4 linked regions of the Nothobranchius furzeri genome follow. The protein of the gene in region 1 interacts with the protein of each later gene in a pairwise test. Links are inferred from orthologs where the notes say so. Each region holds a gene or a part of one and is shown in the gene's direction. Other genes may lie near its edges.

Region 1 (3,500 bases):
TTTCTGTTAGTTGGCGCCCAGCAGAGAAGCTATTGTGCATGTGCGACTTTTGGCAGAGATTGTAACCCCCAAATTCCACTACCTCCGCTCCGCCACAAACTCCGCAGCAAAATCGGTCCCGTTGTAGTCAATCAGAGCTATTCCACTACTGCGGCCGTGCCGCGGCAGTGCGGCGCAGTGCGCCTCCCTCTGTTCCGGCGTCCGGCAAAAATAGAATCGATCCTATTTTCGCCGGACGCCGGAGCACCTCCGCAGTAAATGGACAGGAATCACAACCGCCCAACAGGAAAAGGAGCAAGCACAACTTCCGTTATTTCACAATAAATCGATAAACAAAAGGAGTTTTTTGTTTCATATGCACAGGTTTCACAACTTTTAACAACTATCAATGGCGCCTGAAGTTTAAATGCACAAAAGTAAGCCATAAATACAGTTTCTACTGTCAAAGTAGTCACACTTTGTTGATCCAAACACTGCTGATCTCTCAACACAAATGATGGGCAGATTAAACAGTTCATGTCGATGCTTCTCCCACACAACGGGTGTTTGGATCTAACTTCCGCGTTTATTGCTCGGACTGTATCGCAAGATCTCGAAAATCCCGCGCATGCTTGTTTGCGCACCTCAGGTCTCCGCACCGGAGCGGAGCCGTTGTAGAGCGGGTACCAGTAAAAATTGAGTTCGGAAGCGAGCGGCTGCGGAAGGCGGGGGCGGAGCGGAGGTAGTGGAATTTGGGGGTTATGAAGTGAGATGCCTCACTCGGTCGGAAAAAAACACGTCTGGCGTTTCTATTGTCGATATTTGTCGATAACATCGACGAATCGTTGCAGCCCTTAAAGGTCAACTATGTAAGAATCGTTCAGTAAAGTAGTCACAGAACAGTCCAATGTGTGTATCACGTTGCAGAGAAGGTTACAATGGCAAGATCTCCCCGTCAGCTGGCTGGGGGAATGCCAGGTTTTCTGTTTTCATAAAACATCGTTGACCTTTAAGACCTCAGTAGAAAGTTCTGAGTGTAGAAGCTCGCTCACTAGTGAGTCATCGTAGTTGATGCAGCTCAGTGATGGTTTAGTAAATGATGACTGGAATGTTAAAGCAGGACTTTGATCTGGGCTGAGTTAGCGTTTCTGATTTGTGTTCAGATGTGGGGAGTTTTAGGTCTCTGTAACTCTTCTGTATCCTTTAGAAATTGCAGGATCTGGATGAGAGGCGAATACGGAAGTTAGCACAAGGCTACATCTTGTTCTCAGACACAGAGAAACATGTGATGCCCATCATTGGCAAGTGCCTGGAAGGCATTACTAAAGCCGGCACTAACGTAAATGAGAAGAATGTGAGTTGGTTTTCAGAGATCGAACATTTGACTGTGTGTCACGAGGTCATGCAGCTTATGGGTTTGATCTGTACACTTGTCTAAACAAAACTTTGTTTTCATTTCTTGCTGTTTTTATATAGGACACAATGTTTGTGATAGAGCAGAATAAGTCGGGTTTTGAGCGACCTGGAGACCAGGAGTTTGAGGACTACAGCCAAGGCATCAATCGAGCCTCTTCAGACAGCAGTCTGGGTACGCCTAAAGGCCCCATGGACCTTCTGGGGAAGAATAAGAGCAAAAACTTTTGGCTTTTCACCAGGAAGAGTAAGGTAGGAGTTTTCCCATGATCCGAGTACCTTCGATTTGCGGGAAACAAACACCGAAAGAGGCTAGAACGACTAAAAGTGTGTCTGAAAGTTGATAGTCAAACAATTATTGATCCAAATGATTAAAAATCTTGAGTTTTTCCATCTGGTGAGATAAATCTGCCTGAGAAATCCATGTGTGTGTGTGTGTGTGTGTGTGTGGCAAGATTTCAGGTGTCACAGATGCTAAAACACAATGTTTAATGCATTCTAGAGGTTACAAGGGCAACATCTTTTTCTGTCATGTCTGTTTTCATTACCCCTGGTTTGAGTAGTAGGCCAGTATTTGCTTAGCTTGTTTGGGATTAGCGATGGCCTCAGCTCCAGTTTTGTATTTTTAGTTTGTTTTATAGTAAAATAAGTGAGATGCTATCGGCTGACTCCACGTTGATCTGTTCTTTTCCTGGTTTACTGATCTGCAGCTATTTGTCCAGTCACACCTCCGTTTACATTTCCGCCTTGTATTTCTTTGCTCTGTCAGATTATTTGTTGACTTCCTGCCATGACTTCCTGCGCTTTCTCAAGTTTAGTTCTGAGCTCTGTTTTCCCACAGATACAGATTTGTGTTAACTCTTGGATTTTCTTCCTTGTTGGCAGTCTTATGGGCTCGACACACGGGAGGCGACATCGCCTCTCCTCCATTCATTTTCAATGAGACATGTGTGACAAAGCGATAATCGCGGGTCTCCCTCCTACCAAGCGAAACGCAAAAAACATGCGTGTGAAATTTTGCGCTCGTGCACGTGCCGTGCACAGGCGACCCAGCGACTGGATCCCAGAAAGTTCAAACATTTTCAACTTTTCATCGCTGTTGCTGGGACGAGGACCAATCAACGGAGGTTTCATTCACTGACCAATGAGCGGACAGGATGCTCCGTACATCTTCGAGCAAACATGGAGGAGAAGTTGATTATTATTATGTTTTATAGTAAAATCAGAAGTAAGATTTCACATAACTCTAGCAGCACCTTGTGAAACATCATATCTACCGCTTTATTAACTCTGAACCACTTAAATAACCTTAATTCCCTCCAACCTGACACAGCCAATCAAAACAACAGAAGTTTCCATTTCGCCATGGAACAGAACGCGTAGACGGCTTTGCCGCTGGCCGCTGCCGCGTATCGCCTCCCGTGTGTCAGCTAATAAAAGCGACAGCGACAAATTTCGCTGATCGCGATTCGCGGTCGTTTGTCGCCTCCCGTGTGTCGAGCCCATTAGGCTGTTTGGAGGATGGAGGGCTATTATATATATTAGTTTTGTGTTTCTGGCTGGAATTTGATCATAATTCTGCCAGAAAAAACCCGACCTATAAAGTTAGATATTTATGGTAATGTAAAGGTTACAGTGAGTTGGCGTTTCCTGCTTATGTTAGGGTTGATTTGAACACTTTGGAGCTGGCCTCGATGTGACTAGCTGTTGGCGTGTTGCTCTGATTGTTACTCATCTGTGTTTCTCTAAATTGAGGTTGTTCCGAGAGCTCGGTTGTTTTACAGCAGTGCAAAAGTTTTAGGCAGGTGTGAAAAATGCCGTAAACAAAGAATGATTTAAAAAATGGAAGTAATGGGCCATTCCCATCTGTACCGGGTCGGCCCGGGCCGGGTAGCCCCAGTCGGCCCCAGCCTGGCCCGGTTGATTCCACACATCCTTGTCTTAAGCCCATGTGGGCTGATTCTACCCACCAATCAGAGGCTTGCTCTAATGGAAGGTGTGAATGGGCTGATTCTACCCACCAATCAGAGGCTTGCTCTAATGGAAGGTGTGAATTTGCTGTCAGCAGTGGGTGTGTTGGCCCTGGTCGGCCTGAAGCAGACCCCCTC
Region 2 (4,010 bases), on another chromosome or scaffold:
TGCTTGGAAAGATTTATTATACTTTCCATGTGTTTTATGACAAACAAGCAGTGTTTGGTGTTTTTGCTCATATAGATATGACCAAACTGATTTGTGGATCCTAAAGGACTACATATATTTACATCTAATGATGAATATGGCTGCTGAGGTGGGCACAAGTCAGTGAGAACATTGATGTCAAACACATAATTTACAACTGAGTTTATAAGCTGTTGTAACGATCTACAGGTGTTTAAAGCGTTTTGTGAACTTACATTTTGTATTTTGCGATCAGCGCTGAGTCGATCTGCTAGAAAGTGAAAGTGTAAGATTTTCCTTAAAAACTTGCAGCTTGCTGCTAAAACGATGGTGATCTTTTTTTTATGAAAACAAAATTTGCATCCTCACCATTAAATAGGTGTTACTGAAATCATACAATCAATTAAATTTAAATGTTTGTGTTGGTGGTGGTCAGAGGATCCGACGGCAGCCTTGTCTCTGTCAGACCGCCCAAGGGCGGCTGTGGCTACATAGTAGCTTACCATCACTGGCAGTGTGTGAGTGTGAAAGTGCATGAAAGCGCTATTTAAGTTTGATGTATTATTAGTATTACGGTCATGTTTGTACTGTTTTGTAAAAAGTTATTGGACTGCCAATGTTAGTGCCAAATCCAGCAGAACTCTATTATAGAGCATCACCATCAGGTGGCGCTATAGTAAAGCATTTATTTTTTATCCCTGTTAAGGTTTGCCGTGATGTTCTCACGCCTTACATCAGCCAAACGGTACCTGTAAATTAATATTGTTTCAAAGTGTTTGAGTAGAACTTGCCAGGTTTAAACCGTTGTCAACTCCATAATGTCAGATTTATTTCTGCTTTGAATTATTTAAACATTGTTTACAAATGATGAAAACATTTTCAGAGGATTTTTATTTAGAAGAGGTATATTTTTGAGAGCTGACATGGTTATGTCAAGTTTGCCTTTAATGAGATTGTTTTTTGCAATGACCAGGTCATGTGCCATTTGATATTAAAATATGATAAATAAAATATTTCTCTAATGTGGAATATAATATACGTTTTTTCTTATGTAATTGATATGCCGTTTTGTAAATGTTAACATTGGTGAATTATTTACCCCCCATCCCCATCCCCCCCGAAATAATCGTGCAAGCCTCAAGTCCTTTTCTTTGTGGAGCTTTTGCACATTTGTGGTCCGCTCTGGGGCCAGACAGATCCAGCTTTCTCACTGCTGGTACCGGGTCAGGGATGGCGCTGGTACCGGGTCAGGGATGGCGCTGACAGCTTGCCGAGGCGAGCCCCCCCACCCGCCGTGTGCAACACATATTCTGCGGTAAAGATGGCGGCGTCAGAGGGGGCGCGCTGCGGCCGAACAACGGCCAAACGCTTTTAATTAGGTCCGCTTGAACTAAGTCGAGCTTGTCGGGTGGCTTTAATTACTGCAGGGCTACTGCCTGGACATTCGGGACGGAGATAATCGCTGCCTCGCACCGTTGCTGGGATTTTATTGTTAGAGGAAGGCTAGGTGGGTTTCAGTGGTAGCTGCTAGCGTTAGCCAGGCGAGCTAACACTGAGCCGTTCTCCTTTCGGAGAGCAGCAGGGAGGGGATTCGTGAAAAGAATTCGGGTTAGGCCGCACCAGCTTAGGGGAATGTGAACCAGAGGTACCCAGGGGAGGTTTGCTTGCTTCGTCCCACACGTCCTCTGACAAAACTACTGGAATGGGACAGCAGGTAGGCCGCGTCGGTGAGGTTACATCAAGCGGACTCGAGCCACCACAGCCTCACGCGTCCCAACCACACCAGGGGAAGGGGAACCGGGGCAGCGTCGCCGGGAGGAAACCCCGAGAACCCGGCAGCAGCACCGGGACACCACCGGGCAGGGCTGCTGCAGTAAACGTACCAGACCCAGGAATAAATATATTCACGCAGCATTCAGGTAAAGTGCAAGATTCATGTTTATGCGTGGGTGGATGTGTAAGATGTGTTTTCTCTTTGATGTTTGATTCTGCTAGCAAGTCCCTGCTATTTGACAACGACCCGTTAGCGGAAATGGTTTTGACATCCCACATTAGCTCTCGGTGGCACATCCAGTTTATTCTGCTGTTATTCCTCTGTTGACACGATTCAGTGTGGTCACCGAACTGCCTTGATGGTTTAAACGAGAGGGAAAACCCTCAGTACTTTTTGTGACTGCTTGAGGAAGCCCTTAGGGCAGTTCTTGCAAACTGGGACCGGAACTCCACAGCGATGCATGAAGCACCAAGTTCAAGGATCTTGAGATGATCCATGGAAATGACATTTAAATGATTGCTGCCGGGCTTTCTTCACTCTTACTTAAAGAAACTAGACGGCTGAGCTGTGACAGCGAATATAATAGGTTCGAGACAGTTTGTGTCTTTTTTACATGGCATATTAGAAATAGTTGTACCTTTCAGCCAGGCAGCATTAGTCACGTTGTTATGAGGGTTGAAGCCTGAGCAGTTTGGGATCCACTGGTATTTAGTTTAGAAACCGTGTTCTTGCCTGGGGTCATTTCATTAGCTTTTCCACTCTATTAACTCACTACATCAGTGGCTCACATTACAGTATACTGTATATATATACAGCAATTTTCACTTGAATCTTCTAATATTGTCTACAGTTGCATAACATTTAGTAAAGATTAATCCAAAAGAATTATCTACTTTGTTTTGGTGACTTTTTTCTATTTCAATAATATGCTCTAAATCTGAGACCATGGTCTTGAGTCGGAAAATGGTAGAGCTTTATCCAGTTCAAGGATGAGGTCCTGCCTCAAGTGGAGAAGTTTAGGTTTCTTGGGTTCTTGTTTACAAGCGAGGGTAAGATGGAGCGATAGGCGGATTGGTGCTGCATCTGCAGTGATGTGGGCGTTGTGGTGAAGAGAGCTGAGCCAGTAGGCAAAGCTCTCCATTTACCAATCAATCTACATTCCAACCCTCATCTATGGTCACGAGCTTTGGGTAGTAAGCGAAAGAGTGAGATTGCGGATACAAGCGGCCAAAATTGAGTTTTCTCTGCAGGGTGTCAGGGCTCTCCTTAAAGATAGGGTTAGAAGATCGGTCGTGCGGGAGGGGGTCAGAGTAGACCTCCACTGCTGCTCCTCCACATCAAGAGGAGCCAGTTGTGGTGGCTATGGCGTCTGGTTAGGGTGCCTCCTGGACGCCTCCCTGGTGAGGTTTTCTGGGCACATCCAGCTGGGAGGAGACCTAAAGGAAGCCCCAGGACATGCAGATGAGACTATTTCTCAGCTGGCCAGGGAATGCCTTAGGATTCCTCCTGAGGAGCTGCCTTCAGTGGCTGGGGAGAGGAGAGGGAACCTGGGCCTAACTTGGTTTATGTTTGAGGCTGCTGCCCCCGCGACCGACTCTGAATAAGTGGCTGAACATGGATGGATGGAATATGATCTTTTTAAAATTAATGTTCAAAGCTCCTCTGATTTAATAAAATAGATGTCTATTCTTAGAATATTAAAACCTGAAATGACAACAACAAGGCTGAGGTGGCTTCAGTTACTTGTCTCAACATCACAAGTTTTAAAACAAATCTTTCTGCGTCAGAGCCAGTGGCAATGCTATCATAAGGGCTTGCCGTTATTTTTCCATGTTGTGCAATAACTGATCAGTCTTTCTTCCCATTTGTTGCATACCTTTGCATGTAACATAGTTATGGTGTACTTGATGGCATGTTGGATGGCTTTTACTCACGTTTGATGATGTTTGTATTGCGTTAAGATGTTTAACTACTGGCGTGACCTGTCTAGTTTCCACTCTTATTTGTCTTCGTCCATTGCTGTGAGTTAGGACACAGAAAAGGTGCAACCTTTTGGCAATGGAAAGTATTTTCAGTTCCTGGCTCTTGCACTGTGGAAGTAAGTCGTTACAGACTGACAGACAAGCTTGTTAAGTGCAGCACCACTCGCTTTTGTTGCTGTTCTGCTCAGTTCTTTCCTGTGTTGGGACAGGGATAACCTTTTAATAGCTTCCAAGAT
Region 3 (4,041 bases), on another chromosome or scaffold:
TTCCTGTTGACTCAACATGTGGGATCCGTGCTCTCTGTTGGCAGGCTATGTGTTTTGCTGCATTAGGGTTCATCTTCATGATCTTGAGCCTGTCGTTTATCATCATCGGCTGGGTCACGGGAAAGTCTCGGAGCGGCGGTGGACACTAGCTAGCAGCTACAAGCCAAGACTGACCAGAGGAACTCCAAACAGCACGTCAACCAAAACTCACCCTGCAAACAAACCCCACCGGTCAGCCGAGTTCTCATCCGGGGTTTGGTGATTTACGACGAAGGACAACAGTGAAGAGCCTCGCCCAAAGGAAGAGCTTTCCTGATGGGTGCTGTGCGTTGACTGAATGCACCGCTCAGAGCAAGGATGCTGGTGGGGCCGTGAAGCAGGAGGACAAACGAGAACCAAAGCAGAAGTCCGGTTTCAGGAGCCGGGTGGAAAAACGGAGCCACTATCATTTACTTCCATAATACGTCATATAAGTTTTTGTTCATTAACTTTTACTAAACAAACATTCATTATAGGTTGTTCATTCTGTTAGTTTTTTATGTACAAGATTCTGGTAAGATGTTGCTCGGGTAACAACGAGGAGCTGATGGTCGGCATCGCCACGGAGGAACTTTATTTCACCTAAAGACAACTTTCTGTGTGATGAAACTCATTTAATGTGTTTTTATGTCTCCTGACGACTGACAGGCGGCTCTGTACAAGGTCATGATTTAGGTACCGATGCAACCCGGTGCAATATGTAGGAGATTATGCTGCTGTTGTCGACGGTCAGTCAGAGGGTTACTGATAGTTGTGTGACTCTGAAAGGTGGTTCACACAAGTGAAAAACTGTTTTCTGTTCGTCTCCAACCCACAAACCAAAGAGTATTTAACTGTTACGTTAAGAGAGAGAATGCATTGTTTTCCTGTCACATTCAGCTGTTCGATCAGTTAAATTCAACACCCAGACTGTTTCATCATTTCCTGCATTTACAATTCAGTTGCTTTTAATTGTTTTTATTGTACGACTGGACCAAACACCTTTGTTCCAGAGCCTGCGCGTTTTAAAAATGTATTTAAATGTTGTTTGTCAATAAAAAAAAGTCTCTTCTTTGTACTTCCTGTACATCTGATGCTGATTATTTATGCATGTAAACTCTGAGCTGGAGGGAAGCAGCAGTGCCCTGCCTCTGTCTGAACATGGAAGTGACACGTTCACGTCAGAGTGAGAGAAGACAAGTGGGGGTTAGAGAAGTGTGGCTGTCTGCTTCCTGCTTCGAGCTGATGCTCGCTCAGAACAGAGAAGAGAAACTTCCTGGATCGTAGAGAATATTCCGACCGCTGTCCTCTTCGTTTTAGACTTTTGATGCCGTTACATGTTGGTTTGTGAGAGGCGTCATGAGTCGTGGAGCTAAGAGTAAAACAGAGAGCGATCGAAGCTCTTTGCTGAGCCAACAGGAGAATGACATGTTGGAGGAGCTGCTGGGCAGAAGGTGTGCTGTAAGTTCTGAACCGGGAGGAAATAACCCACCGTTCAATTTATTATTCATCACTTCTGCTGCTAAACAAAACTAACGCATTCCGATTGCCTGCCTATATGTTAGATTTCCTCCTCTTTGAGCCGCTAAAACGTCACATGCTGAAGAGGCAGGCGTTAGCTGAGGCCTGTCTCCTAAAACATCATCCTTTTGAGTTGGGAACTGAAAGATCCTTTCTGTAAGCAGCTGTGAGTGATGTTAAGTTATTTGCTGTTGGGTCACCATGACGGAGGCAGCTGTAACAGGAAATGCTGGCTGGCTGGATTCTTCCTCTCCTGTCAGATGTAGACGCCATGGCTGGTTTGGTCTGACAGCAGAGCAGAAGTTTAGTTTTTGACTTCATTCGTCCGTAGGAGTAAGCTGGCAGAGCCGTGAGACATCAGACGTGTGTCAGGTGTAATCCGGAGAAGACAGAGAGCCTTTTGAGCTCTTATCACAAAAATGAGAGCAGAGGAGGAAGTTATCCACCAGCAACGAGCAAATTTACATGTCAACTGGGTGTGTGTGTGTGTGTGTGCGTGCGTGTGCGTGTGTGTGTGTGCGTGTGTGTGTTTAGTCCACAGCCACCGCTGTAGCACAGCTGTTCATGGCTCTGCCACACAGCCCGTCCACATGGAGCCTGCAGCACACCGGAGTGGTCTGCTTCGTCAAAGACAACCCTCAGCGCTCCTACTTCATCCGGATGTTCGATTTGAAGGTCAAATAAAGAATCTATGAGCTCATCCTCTCTAGGTTTTGTGACTGACGTCTCCGTTGGAGAAGCTGTGACTCAGATGTGACGGGAGTTAGTGAGGGGCAGACGCGCTGACCAGGCACTTTTTTCCACAGGCAGGGAAACGGGTTTGGGAGCAGGAGCTGTACGACCAGATGGCTTACTTCACGCCTCTGCAATACTTTCACACCTTTCCTGCAGATGTAAGCGCGCACTAATCACACAAGGCAATAACTGTGTCAGTATGAAATTGTGAGTGTGTGTTTGGGTGAGTTAACAGGACTGCCAGGTGGGCCTGAACTTCACGGACCAACAGGAGGCAGACGCCTTCCAGCATGCTGTCGTGGAGAAAATCAACCAGCGGAACAGCCGGATGGGTCAGCACGCTCCTGCTCCTCTCACTACAGAGCTTTAACCCTCCGGAGGCAGGCGTTGCAGATTAGCAACGTTAAAACCTACCGACCTGGTTTCTCCACATACGTGTTTCATGAGCATGTTTTAACTCAGGAGCACCCCTGAAGGACTTAGTTGTTCGTCCTTTTATCATAACTTACTTTGAGCCTGAGAGGGTTAAGCAGACGTTTAGAAGGACACGCTTCCATGTTTATATTTAGAACAGGTTTGGGTTATGGGCTCGGCTGTAGCACCCTACATCAATAGTAGTCAACGGGGGCGGATCTTCAGGGGGGAACATTGTTGTAAAGCCTTGCCTTCCTCTGCTGCCTCCCTACTTCTATGTCCTAAACGGTGTATTCACATCTGGGTCGGCCCGGTCCATCCCTGGCAGGGTAATTGTGTTCACATCGGGGTAATCTGTGTGTTTTCTGTGCTCAGCCGACCATTTTTTCCAGATCTCATCTCCAGCGGACAGCTTGGCACTGACAACACATCCACTTCGGACCGACTGGGTGGCCAAAGTTCATGTCTGCCTACAGAGAAAGCCTTTGATTGGCAAGCAGAATCAGCCAGTGCTGGCTTCCTGCATACATGATTCATAATCATTCTGGATGCAGTGGAGTAAACATCTCCTCCGACTGCAGCTCACACCTGCCGTGGGAGCACAAAGCCAGACAGCTGTGAGGAGCGCGTGGCGGTCTCAGTGAGACAGTAGGAAGCTGTGTGCTTCATGTCAGAGTCTCTCAAAGCAACGCAACTCTCAGCCACCTTTGTTTACTAATTGAAAAAAGGACACCGTGGACTTCTCCATGCATCTTTTGCCCCGCCTACATGCTCGGAGACGTCTACGTTCCTGAGAAGGCTGTGCAAACAAAACCTGGCCATGGTGGGATGGGCCAACCCAGCCAGGACCCAACCGGGCTGGGCCAGATGTGAAAATGCCACGAGTGATGGCAGAATCAGTCCAGCAGGGGCGGATTAAGAACTGAAGAACATCCGGGGCTTAACACACGCACACACGCGCGCGAACACACGCGCGCGCGCGCACACACACACACACACACACACACACACACACACACACACACACACACACACACACACACACACACGCACACACACACACACAAGTGACACGCACTAGTCAACATCATATATATTTGTCTTGTACCACATCATTTTTAATCTGAAGCTACATATTAAGCATTTTCAGGGCAGAGTATTGTTCCTGTTAGTGTTTAGTGTGAGATGATAGTAAATATTACCTTTCTTTCTCCAACAACTTTACCTGATAAGCTAACTTTAGGCAAACCAGCAGCACAACAAATATTTTCTAATAAGACTCACAAACCTGAGTCAGCACCAGTCTCATCAAAGCTGGGGTTCTGTCGCCGTACTTTTGGTCTAAAACGTCCT
Region 4 (3,953 bases), on another chromosome or scaffold:
CCTAGTTAATCTATAATTAAACGGGTAAACTAGTAGTAGCACATTCAATGTCAAAGAAAGTAAAATGTTATTGTCAGGAGGGAGAATGTTTAAATGGTTTGCAGCAGTGTTCAAGCCTATGGTCCCCACCATGAGGCTACCACAGCTCAGCAGAACATCATTGTAGCTTCTTCTGGAGAGAAAAACACTTAGAGAAAAAATAACGGTAACAGCTGAAATAACAGGAAATAATACAGTTAAAGACAGAAAGAAATTGTAGAAGAAAGTAGTCGAATGTGGAAAGTGGTCAGTATGTCCTCCAGCAGTCTAAGCCTATAGCAGCATAACTACAGAGATAACTCTGAATAACTTTTCAGATGGAGGCATGTTGGAGGCAGGGCAAGAGAGAGCCGTCTTTACCGACTGTACACTCCACCTCCCTCTACTCCCCCACTTGTCCAGATCTGGGCTAACATCAGATTTTAACCATAGGCCCTATCAAATAAGAATGTTTTAAGCCCAGTCTTAAAAGTAGACTAGGTGTCTGCCTCACGGACTAAAGCTGGGAGCTGGTTCCACAAGAGAGGACCCTGATTGCTAAAAGATTCAACCAATGGGTGTGAAAGTAAATGAGGTTTAAGCGATATAACCAATAAGATTAGTGGTTTCATAAACTTAAGATGTTTGATTTTAAACATGTTTTCTGTGGCCAAATCTACTTATTTTGGTTTGACAAAATTCAGAAATGTTTTTATTGGATAAGTGATTAATTTTGGCATTGATATTTTTATACGTTTTTTAAAGCAGATGCAGAAAACGCATTGTTTTTTTAAGAGTTATCAAAATGGGACATTATTTTTGATGTTGTGCATTACTGCCGCTAGACGGCGCTAACTCTCCTCTTGCCACCCGGACACCTGAGGGCTCGAGCCGCAGTTCACTCCTTTAAGAAGAGTTCTCACTCCGAAGAATATCCTGCTAAAACTATTTACATTAGCTCATGGGACCAGAATCACTGTCATGAAAATTACTTTAGATATTGTGTTTGTCCGCATATCTGTAGTAAGTAGCACCACATTTGTCGTACTCCCAGAAAAATAAAGTAAGTCGTTAGTTTCTGTAGAAAAATCTCCGTAGTGATACGTCACGTGACTAGATTATCTTTGTGTAAAGGTGGTTGTCGAAGTTGCAGGCGAGTTCACGAGAAGAAGAGCTGTGGCGGATTATAGGTTACGAACCAGGGACGGACACGGGGAGACGGAACCGTGAGTGTTGGACAAACTTAAGAAGAGTAAAGCTAGTTCGACTCGGTGGGGAAGTTTACTGGAATTTAAGTTCAGCGGGTTCCCGGATTCCCGAAGAGAAGAGACGTTCAGGTGCGTATCCTTATTTGGGACGACCAGGAATTTAGCCCTCAAGCTATTTAGCTAGCTAGTGTTAGCGACAAATTACAACAAAGATGAAAAACTAGTTGATAATGTTCTCAAATATGAACTTAACTAAAAAGTAAATCCACGAGAAACGTGCTGAAAGTACACAAACTATTCCCTAACATTACAGACGATAAAACATCAGAAAACAGCAGAAACGGTGTTTGTTTTGGTTAAACTTCGTTTATCACAACACAAAATCAAGAGTTACACCATAAGCATGAGTTCTAATCATTCTTAAATCAAGTTTCCTATTAAAATAAGGCGTACAGTTACTAAAATAACTCGTCACGGTCAGGAAATCCTGCTGATTTCATTCTTTTAGTCCAAATGTAGTCACACAAGAGCCAGTCCTTAAAAACAGCATTGTGTTTACGCTCAATAGAGATAAAAATAAAAACAGTTAACATGCTTTTTAAAAATGTATTTTAGGGCATGACTCAGCTCACAGCGACACATTCCTGCTGTCGAATCTGTAGTCCCGTTTTATTTATGTAAATGTAAAACAATAGTGAAGATTTAAAGTAACCAGTCATTTCAAATACTTAAGCAGCCAATTCTTTTTGTGTTTGTTATTCATTTAATTAATATGATCCATCAGGAAACTTTAATTTATAAAACATGGGTTGGTGGTGGACTTTTTCCATCTTTGTGGTTAATTTCTTTCCCAGATCTGTTGGTTGATGTGCCTCTTGAGTGGGAGGAGAAATGGACTACCTGCTCTCCCAGCATGCCTGTCTGAATCTGTGCACACTGGAAGTTGAGATTTAAAAGTGGGCTACACTGATTGTAGTTCTCTGGAGTGGGACAGATTGTGGTTATAACAGGGCTAATGGACCTCAGAGAGTTGAGATGTGCCTAACTGGGGCAGCCTGTGCTGAATCCAAGCTGTGTGAAGGTCAACACGCCACTTCCTCTGTTCCTTTTTGGTGTCAGCCTCAGTTCTCTGCTGCAAAAGAAGAAACCACGACTTGCAGGTGGTGCTGACTTGGTAATCTATCTGGTGCGGCAATTGTAAGAACATGCATTTTATTTCTGATCAAAGTTATCACCAACGTGTCAGTGCAGCTGCAACAGCTTAGAAGCTGGGACTAACTGCAGCAACTATGAAACTAGAGTTATGTTCAAGAGCGTAATGCACACTTGGTATGTTAATGAAATCATGTGCTCAGTGTCACTTGTGCTGGCTTTTCTACAAGAAACAGGTTATGGAAAACACTGTAGTGAAGCTGCAAGAAACCCAAGTTCCTTAAAAAATAGGATTTAAATGTGTTTTTCCAGCAAAGTGATTATTTACATCTAAAACCTGTCAGACAGTCTACGTGTGAGGCAGAGGTTAGGTTGTGATTGCTGTATCCAAATGTTTAACTATATTTTCAACACGGATATTGAACCCAAGTCACCTTGAACTTCAGATAATGTGAGGAAAAGGTTTCCAGTGTGGTTGTCACAACAGATCATGCATTAACTCACCTGGAACGTTTTAAAATATGACGATGAATGAGAGACTTTTCTACATGGGGGCGTGAATCACTCTAACCGTTAGCTACTTGTTTCTCTCCTGCTGTACATTTCTTGAGCTTGTTGAGTTTGTCTCCTTGTTGGTAGCCTTGTGTTGGTTTTCTGCCAAACGAGAGATTATTTTTTGCAAATGTACTTCTGGTGTATTTTGCACAAATATCAGAGGACTGAGCAAGCAAACATGACTAAGGACATTGTCCTCCCCATCTCTCCTCTGATTAATAAGATTAATTATTAATCGTTACAAATAACCTCTTTAGACACACGGGTTATAAAGAACTTTTAAAACGTCGATGCATTAGTTTGTTTCCATCTAGTGAGTAAAGACGACACCAGTGACAGCTTTCACTGGTCCAGTAGGAGAAAGAGAAGAGGGAATTGTCTCTTTCCTGGTCACAAATATTGGCCCAGTTTTGTTGTCTGGAAACAGAATGGGTTGTAAACACTCATCTAAATAAAGTTCTGCTGCATTTTCTGGTGTTGCGAGTTTAGAAACGGTGATTTTAAAGCAGAGTAAATAAACGCTGCTTTTCTTTTCCTTTCATTCTGCTTCACCTGAATCTGTTCCAGTTTTATAATCGCTGGTTGTTTGGTAACATCTGTGACATCATTTCCTTCTGAGTTACAGCCAATCAGCATACACCACTCCAGGTACTCAGTTGGTCCCTGAAGTGGCTCACCAAATGGTGTTTTTGGGCTGGCCCGGTGAAATGGAAATGTGTGTATGCCACGATGGTCCGGTAACGGTACCTGGACGTTTCAATAGTGGAAACAGGCCTCATCTTGCAGATTTAGTCGAAAAAGGACCTAAAATCATCCTAAACAAGTGGATTAAAAACAGTTTGTACATTAAAGGTGGCATTTTCATCATGACAAGGGAACAGTATACAGTGGGGCAAAAAAGTATTTAGTCAGCCACCGATTGTGCAAGTTCTCCCACTTAAAATGATGACAGAGGTCAGTAATTTTCATCATAGGTACACTTCAACTGTGAGAGACAGAATGTGAAACATAATCCATGAA

What was found. The genes of interacting proteins can lie anywhere in the genome.
Region 2: the proteins of trip10a (region 1) and abl2 interact in binary tests that used the Homo sapiens proteins (3 or more experiments, as listed by UniProt). The link is inferred for Nothobranchius furzeri from reciprocal best matches to the Homo sapiens genes TRIP10 and ABL2.
Region 3: the proteins of trip10a (region 1) and wasb interact in a two-hybrid assay, tested with the Homo sapiens proteins (2 studies listed by BioGRID). The link is inferred for Nothobranchius furzeri from reciprocal best matches to the Homo sapiens genes TRIP10 and WAS.
Region 4: the proteins of trip10a (region 1) and arhgap12b interact in binary tests that used the Homo sapiens proteins (3 or more experiments, as listed by UniProt). The two-hybrid records come from large-scale screens. The link is inferred for Nothobranchius furzeri from reciprocal best matches to the Homo sapiens genes TRIP10 and ARHGAP12.

What each region holds. Positions count from the first base shown.
Region 1 is NC_091745.1:3,251,048-3,254,547, reverse strand, and holds part of trip10a (cdc42-interacting protein 4 homolog), read left to right. Parts: intron 1-1,186; coding exon 1,187-1,333; intron 1,334-1,455; coding exon 1,456-1,644; intron 1,645-3,500. UniProt on the Homo sapiens protein: Required for translocation of GLUT4 to the plasma membrane in response to insulin signaling. Required to coordinate membrane tubulation with reorganization of the actin cytoskeleton during endocytosis.
Region 2 is NC_091748.1:56,978,552-56,982,561, reverse strand, and holds the start of abl2 (tyrosine-protein kinase ABL2), read left to right. Parts: upstream 1-1,210; 5' UTR 1,211-1,720; coding exon 1,721-1,937; intron 1,938-4,010. UniProt on the Homo sapiens protein: Non-receptor tyrosine-protein kinase that plays an ABL1-overlapping role in key processes linked to cell growth and survival such as cytoskeleton remodeling in response to extracellular stimuli, cell motility and adhesion and receptor endocytosis.
Region 3 is NC_091755.1:42,288,305-42,292,345, reverse strand, and holds the start of wasb (WASP actin nucleation promoting factor b), read left to right. Parts: upstream 1-1,241; 5' UTR 1,242-1,377; coding exon 1,378-1,479; intron 1,480-2,073; coding exon 2,074-2,214; intron 2,215-2,345; coding exon 2,346-2,432; intron 2,433-2,509; coding exon 2,510-2,606; intron 2,607-4,041. Other genes in the region: sodium-coupled neutral amino acid transporter 3, read left to right, coding at 45-149. UniProt on the Homo sapiens protein: Effector protein for Rho-type GTPases that regulates actin filament reorganization via its interaction with the Arp2/3 complex. Important for efficient actin polymerization. Possible regulator of lymphocyte and platelet function.
Region 4 is NC_091751.1:39,509,299-39,513,251, reverse strand, and holds the start of arhgap12b (rho GTPase-activating protein 12b), read left to right. Parts: upstream 1-1,153; 5' UTR 1,154-1,355; intron 1,356-3,953. UniProt on the Homo sapiens protein: GTPase activator for the Rho-type GTPases by converting them to an inactive GDP-bound state.